Drosophila melanogaster: one gene and its partner. The protein of the gene in region 1 interacts with the protein of each later gene in a biochemical or structural test. Each region holds a gene or a part of one and is shown on either strand. Other genes may lie near its edges. The genes, in order: Sema2b and PlexB.

Evidence for each region.
Region 2: the proteins of Sema2b (region 1) and PlexB form a complex in vitro, tested with the Drosophila melanogaster proteins (one study listed by BioGRID).

Annotation. Positions count from the first base shown.
Region 1 is NT_033778.4:16,384,264-16,388,194, reverse strand, and holds the start of Sema2b (semaphorin 2b), read right to left. Parts: upstream 1,672-3,931; 5' UTR 1,445-1,671; intron 1-1,444.
Region 2 is NC_004353.4:41,877-45,807, reverse strand, and holds the start of PlexB (plexin B), read left to right. Parts: upstream 1-2,029; 5' UTR 2,030-2,383; coding exon 2,384-2,894; exon of another isoform or gene 2,895-3,034; intron 3,035-3,931.

The DNA of each region.
Region 1 (3,931 bases):
AGCTGTCTCACATGACCCCCAATCCCCTAATCCAGAAGACCATGCCCCCCTTTTGTGCCACCAGCTGAGTGTCAAAGGCGCTTAAATGCTTTGAGCCTGCCGCCTGCCCCGCTCACTTCTTTGGCCAACGAGCCACTTTCTTCTTTTTGGCCAGGTTCTTTGGCCACTTTTTTCGGCTCTGGCCAATCTTCTCAGGTTCCATTGTACGCCGCGAAACGAGCTGAAACGCTTTTTTTGCCCCCTGCATTTAATACCCTAACTGACTGCGGCAGAAATTCCATCGCGTTTTTCATCCCTTTGTGAAATAATTAATGCCCCTGTTTTAAGCGAGGAATTAAAAAAATTTGGATCGTATCACACTCTTTAAAAAAGCGCCACTTTATATGCAATTACAAAATAAATAAAAAAAAGAGTGCTGAATGTTTAATTGAGACACTAAAATATTATGAAAATAAGTCTGTAAGTTTTTTAATGACCCCGTGCCGAATACTTAGTAAATTGTCTGTATATAAATACAACTTTACCTATCATATTAAAATATATTAAATATATAAAAACATAAAGAACAACAGTGACAACCAAATAGAATGAAATATACTTTTGAAAAGCTGAACATAACGATTTTTTTGTAGTATTTCCAGATATTTTGGTTTTAAAAAGTTAGAGCATCCAACTGGCGACTTGGCTGCACTTTTTCTTGACCCTATGCTGCAGTTCTGCGCTCATAATCACCAAAAAACAGACGGAGGGTCGGAGTGCTTTTGAAGTTCTTTCTGTTCGCATTGTTGCATGGCTCTTGGGCAACCGAAGGGGGGTATGCAGAGGCGTGGCAAACGGGGCATGGTGGGTCACGGAGGGGGCGGAGGGGCAAGGGCATGCGAAACAACCTCGACATGCGATGCAATCGCCAGCACTTTTTTCAACCAGCTTTTGTGTCTTGGTGGCGTTTTTTCTCAATTTTTTCTTTTTTTTTTGTTAGCCGCGAGTCGCAAATCGCAAATCGCTTGCTGCAAGTTGCGACCAGGTGGCTACTGTTACGGCCAAGATATTGCACACTTTGCTCGGAACGAAAAAAAAAGGCGAGAGAATTGCGCTTAGAGCTGTTCTAAGTGGCAATAACAATTTGGCCGTTTGCATTCGCAATTTATGTGCTGAATGGGCCAACTTGGCTGGCTGCACAAATGCAAATGGCAAACTGATGGCCAAAAATAACTCCTTTGTCTTCCTCACGCTGCACTCCGCACTCCGCCATCCGCACTCTTTTCTGCAGTCAGAGGCACGAAAGAGAACGGGTTGCAAACAAGTTGGGATCAACTGGTCAGCGCGGGTAATGCAAAGTGAAACACGCTTGGCAGGTAGCGCTCAGCTCAGGTGGGATTCTGATTGGATTCGGGGATTGGAGAGCGTTGCACAGTCGTTTGGGGATCGAGATTTGTATATTCACCTCACTGCTGCTGAGTTATGTTGCACACTTGTCACTGAAACTGAAACCTGTGTTTTTCATATATATTTCGCATTTATTATTCTTGTTTGTTGCGTGGGCACTGCTAGCGAGTTGCACGAGTTTTCTTTAGCTGGGTTTCGGTTTCTGACTGCGCTTTTCCGATTTCCCACTTTCCCGCTTAACATCCGCACACGATGACCGTTCGAGTCGCGATTTCAAGACAAACTGAACAATCCGTCGTTGTTGCTTCGCCGCCGCCGAAGTTTTCGCACCACACACACTCGTATCTTCGTAACTTCGGCTTTTTGGGGGAATTCGGCTTCGCTCTCATTCGTTTGGCAGTCGCTGAAGTTCGTCGAAAACGAGTTTCGAGCTGGCAATGCCGTGTCAACTGTTACTGGGAACACTTCTCAGCACCTACCGGCATTTTTAACAGTTTGTTTTGCTGTTGAGCCTACAGACTTGCACTGTGGGAACAGTCTAAAAAATGTTAACATTGTCCCTGAAAAATTTTTGGTTTCAAGATGAATTCATTTGTAATAATATATATTTTTATGTACTTTATGTACAAAAATCTAATGAAAATCGTATACAAATTTTCTTTATGTTCTCTTTTTGTGTATTTTATAATGTTAAATTTTAATTTATTTCAAAATAATGTTATCTGATGTTTTAGACTTTATTTAATTTACTATTGTTTCTATGTTTGTAAAGTGTTAAGAACTTCTTTATCTACCCTAATACTTCAAGTATTGATTTAAATCAAATTTTAGGAATTGGAACTAAAACATTGAATTTAAAAGTTTAATTTTTTCTTAGCAGTTTTTATTTGAAATATATATATATTACGAACGTTGTGCTTAAAACGCATTTCATGTACACGGACAATTTCGAGTCAAAATCCAAATTGCAAATCCACAAGGAAAAATGACAACTGCCGCACAATCTCAATTAGCCCAGGTTAGTAATTGATGTGGTCAGCTGCAAGAGTCCTTTCTCCAACACCTTCTTTGGCGATTATAGAACTTTCACTTAATTGCCATAAATTGGAAGTGCCAATACGTGTTGCATTAAACTTTCAGATCCATTCGTTGAGCGGCCAATCAAGTGATTGACCACAGATTGTGCGGAGGTGGCGGCGACGAAGGGGATAGTAAAATCATTTGGAATTAGGGCATGTGGAATAATTTATGCTCGAATTAATAATGGCACGTAGCCAATCATTTGAATGCGATTTAATTAATTTCCCATGCCGACATTCACCTGAAACTGGTCTCCGTTCCGTATCGTTCCGTCGTAATGACAGGGACAGGCCAGGCCAGGCCAGGACTTAAGCCACTCGTTGGCCGAGATGGATATGCACTACTTACGCCCGCTTGTATATCAATAAAATCAAATAAATATATCGTTTGAGTCCAGGGCCATCCACCTGAGATCCGCACGCATATAAATAACCAATGATGCGGCATTTATCTGCCCGCCACTCCCACTCCTGCTTCAACTCCTCGTATTCCACTGCTGGCCATCAGTCTCGGCTTACGTTCCATTTAAAATGGTTTTCGGTCCGTCGTGGGGGCCATTGAAACTAAAGACGAAGAAATTGTTCTTTCAGTGCACAGGAAAAAATCCGAGGCACTGCAAAACATAACAAAATATATCTATACCTTGTAAGCAAGTTCTTTTGAAACAACAAATATCCTACAATAACTTACTTTGATTTTGTAATTCAACTTTCCTTTACGGTCTAATAAGAATAAGGATTTGTATTTATTTTTCTCAGTGTTTCGCCGCCATTGTTCTGCGGGAGCTGGCAGGACTCCTCCAGAGCCGAACTTGGGGCTAAAAGGGATAAACGTTTTTAGCATGGCCTGCACGATTTTTATGCAAGGAACGTGTTGTTGCTGCCCCAGCCCCTTTTGGCTCAGAGGCTCTTGGCCATGTCCGTGCGACTGTTTCGCGTCATTTGCTCTCTGCTGGATCGTAATTTTATGGCTGCCAGCAGCTTCTTGGGTCTCCAATTGCCAGGGTGGCCAAGTGATGGCATAGCAGGCAGTCAAAGCAAACGGAAGTAAACTGAAGCCAAAAATTCTCGTTTTTATTTGACGAAGCGTTCAGTTCACAGAGCATTCCTCCAGAAGTTGTCAAAACAAAGCGAGCGAAACTAACAATAAGTGAGTGGAGAGGCAGACAACTACGGCTGGCAAAGATGGAGTCGGTTTGGGCCAAGGTGGGTTTTGGGCTAACAATGGCCCAACTGCATCACCTGGCATCGGACCAAACGGCAGGCGGAGCAGGCGAGAATATCGCTTACCAACTCGTTTGGCAATTTTTCTCAATTTTCACATTGAAAACTAAGCGCCGGAGGAACGATAGAGCCGCCCCTCAATAGTATCATCCATCCCTAGCCAAACCCTTTTAAACACATACAACACACACTTTTCGACTTCATATTTGGGCTTCCAATTTGAGTGGGGCCACGGGGAGAGG
Region 2 (3,931 bases), on another chromosome or scaffold:
AATTTATCAATAGATTCTACATGACCTTGCTTAATTATCACATAAAGGAAAATATTTGCGCGGTTTAAGAGCTGGAAGTTCCTAAGTTTACCATTAACCTTTTTATTGATATTATTTTGTTTCGCTTTTTAATACTGCATTCTTAGCTTCACGGCAGCAGCGTTGCCAATGTAGATTTTTTCCTACTAGAATAAAAAAATACAGAATAAGCAATCATTTGCGTCATTGTGAGTTGTGAGTGCAAACCAACAAAACTGGAAAGGTGGAAACTAATTTATAAAATCAAAAACGTTTTCCCGATGACAAGCGATTTGTTCTTAGCTGGGAATAACACTATTATAATAATAATATTATACTTATATAATTCCTAATAATTTGCTCCAAGCATACATTTTTTTTTTTGTAAAAAGAAAATTAAAATTAATAAAAAGTAAGTAAGTAAGAGCTGCGTATCATTGTGCCGTTTGATATTCCAAATTCCTAATAAATTATTCTCTTATTGAGTTGAAAAATATCCATGTTTGTCATTATATGTGTTGTAAAGATTATAGACAGTTTAAGTGTACACATTAACCTCTTTGGTCAATCTAATCTAACTTTTTGGTAAGAGATGGTTTATCTCTTTAGCATCTCTTATCGCAGCATTTTCTGCGGCAGGTCTGGTTATGTTTCGAGTGTTCACGTCGGCTGTTAACGGATTTTTGATACATTGTTGTTATGTGTAAACAGTTCTATTTATGTACTTGTACATGTTGCACAGCGCAAATATTGTCGATTAACCATGGTTTCCCGTGCTAAGTTTCGATGTGATGCCAACCAAGTATAAACTAAAGATCCTGTGTTATACCAAAACGAATTCGGCGTTGTCAAGATCGATGTTCCCGATTGCTCTTCAGTTCACAAAGAATTTTCACAGTAAATAATGTGATAGCAGCATAAGTTTCATTAACTATCGCTTTGAAATATAGTCGGTTAACCGAAGTACACCCTTGCAAAGTGACTACACAAATGGATTGATGAAGCATTTTTATAGGGGTCAATATCCAATGCTAAGTGTTGAAAAAAATCCACAAATAAAACTTCAATATCTGTAGTGGTTCCCTAATTTAACTTATATATTCGGAGAATAAATGAAATTGTATATACATATGTACGTATGACAGGATCAGAAATCTCTCTGAGAATATATAAAAATCGAATCTTCAATTCAGTCAAAATTTAAAACCCACCGATATAATCTATTTAGTGATACTTATTTAACTAAGTGTTAATAATTTACAGGTCTTAATGACGGTTGGTCTTAATTTACAGTTGTAGAGAAATTCAATAAATTATTAATAAGACAATTGATTAGCAAAATAGCCATTCGTTGGACAAATTTTCCAAAAATTGTTGAATAATAATAATCAAATTTTTTAAATTTATATAATTTTAATAGTAAAAAAGGTACATAAGTAAAATTAGTATAAGTATATACATAAATAGTCCCAAACACTACGTGGCGTTGAAGCCTCCATGCCATGAGAAACCCTTAATGAAATAATTTAACATTAAACATGTTATGATTTTAAAATAATTTTATAAAATTTTAGCCATCGTGCCACATAAATCAATGTTGTTCAAAACTTTGTGTAGAGATAGGTGGGTCTGTAACACTCGAATCAAAAACAATATTAAGATAAAAATAGCGCGCACGGCAAGTGTTGCATGGAAGAAGATGAGATCAATTTAGATTCTTTGGAGATTGCTCTTTTTAACGCGACTACCATTTCATTGATATTATTTTACAAAAATGTTCCTGGAACATTTTAGACTCCATCGGTGGTGTCTTCTTTCTTTTTTCTTTTAACATTAGCCAATTGATTGGATGTGGAATCAGAACTGAAAACATTTAAACGATATCTACATAAATACTTCCGAGGTTTTTAATGGTAAGCTTCCCTTTAATGTGCTCCTTGTGAATACAGCATTACAATGCCCTCTAGCTCGATAGTTCAATTTGTATGCGATAGGCTGATACAGCCGATACTAATAATCTGCTCTAGGACTGATAGTGTACACACAACGTTTGAGCGTTGCCTAAGAAGTTTTTTTTAAATAAATATTTGTTTACATTGACTAATCGATTTTTTGTGTTAAACAACCTTATAAAAAATGCGCTAAACCTAAAATAGCCAAATGGATCATTTTAATTTAAAAATATTTATGCACCTACAGTGAATCAGCGGCATATAAAATTAATTCGCATTAAATTCAATCGATATTAAAAAGTTTATATATTAAGGAGAGAGAATGTAGAGCTAAATAATAATAAAAATGACATATGGGGAATTGATGCCCAAACTCAACTACAAACTGATCATACACAAAACCACAAATAAATATGTTGCGAAAGGAATTGTATTGTGCAAACATTATACATGTTTTACATGTACTGTGTATTATTATCATACTCGGTTCTCAGCATTATTGCGTTAACTGCATTGAAGAACTGCCGGCTCAGGCGTTATCTCCCTTAAATGACATAGTCGCCCAGTTTAACTTGCCATCAATACCAGTTCAATCAACAGCTTCCAGCTATGGCAATCGATCAATTGGAAACAATATAGAAAGTGTTAGAGACTCTCAATCTAAAAATTATTTTACTCACATGAGCTTCGACTTTATGCACAATGTTTTGTTTGCGGGTGCTACAAATAAAATACTTAAACTTAACGAAAACCTTCGAGTGCTGGCCGAGGCTGTTACTGGGCCGTTACATGATTCCCCGCAATGTCACGCTGGAGGCTGTCCGGAAGATATTGAGACATCGCTTGTCAATAACTTCAACAAAATTCTAGTAGTAAGCTACGCTCACGATGGTATTCTCATAGCGTGTGGAAGCATTCGACAAGGTAAAATAGCAAACACATATCAAAATAAAAATAAAATACTTAAGTCGGCGACTTCGTATGGGACCGAAACTCCTGACATATCGTATTGGTTTATAGAAGTTATTGGTCATTTTTTGTAGTCATCGTAGAACAATGTCGCAGTGTTTTTGAGCTCCACATAAAAAAGCGGCGAATATAAGTAATTATTCAAAAGTGCGGAAGGAATATGATGATAAACAAAACAGGATTTTAAAATGTTATAAATTAAAAAATCTATAGTTGAACTCTTGAAACAATTTGGGTAGTATTAACGTTAAAGTATTAAAATAAAACAAGATAATATGCTATAGTCAAGATCTCCGATACTCAGCTAGTGTGAATGCGAACTCGAAATCGAAATTTCATCATTTTTCTGGGATATCGATAGATATTGGGGAATAAAAGAAGAAACAATTTGAAAAATGTTCAATAGTGTGGGCGTGACCGGTTTGGCGGCTTTAGGGAGTTAGAGTAGGCGTGGCAAAAAGTTTAAGCAACTAATAAAATTAAAAAAAATATTCTAAAATGTTTGCAAAAATATGGGCGGGCAGTTTTGGGCATAATATTACTTCAATCATGCGATGCGAATCGTCTTTAAAATACTTTTCAACGAATCAGTTAACAATTTTTACTGTTCCTGAAATCAATTCTGATCGAATAAACGAATTTACATATTTGGTAAGTTTTGGCCAATTTCGTAGCAATATGATGAAATTGCGCTCTTTTTTAGGAATATCAAATTGGAATATAACAAAAAAAAAACTGAAACTAAACAACTGAATCTAATGTGCATTTTAAATAATAAAAATGGATCATTTTATACATCATATTAAAATTAAAAAAATTTCATAAAAATAATACGTAGTAGAAAATAAAAATTTTTAACATAAATAAAAATATGAAAACTGTTTATTGCAAGTCATATGTATCTTGAGGCACGAAGTGCGGACACAAGCACTCAACAATCATTGCCTTATTAATTTTTCACACGTCGAAAGCTGAATACTCTAATGAATATA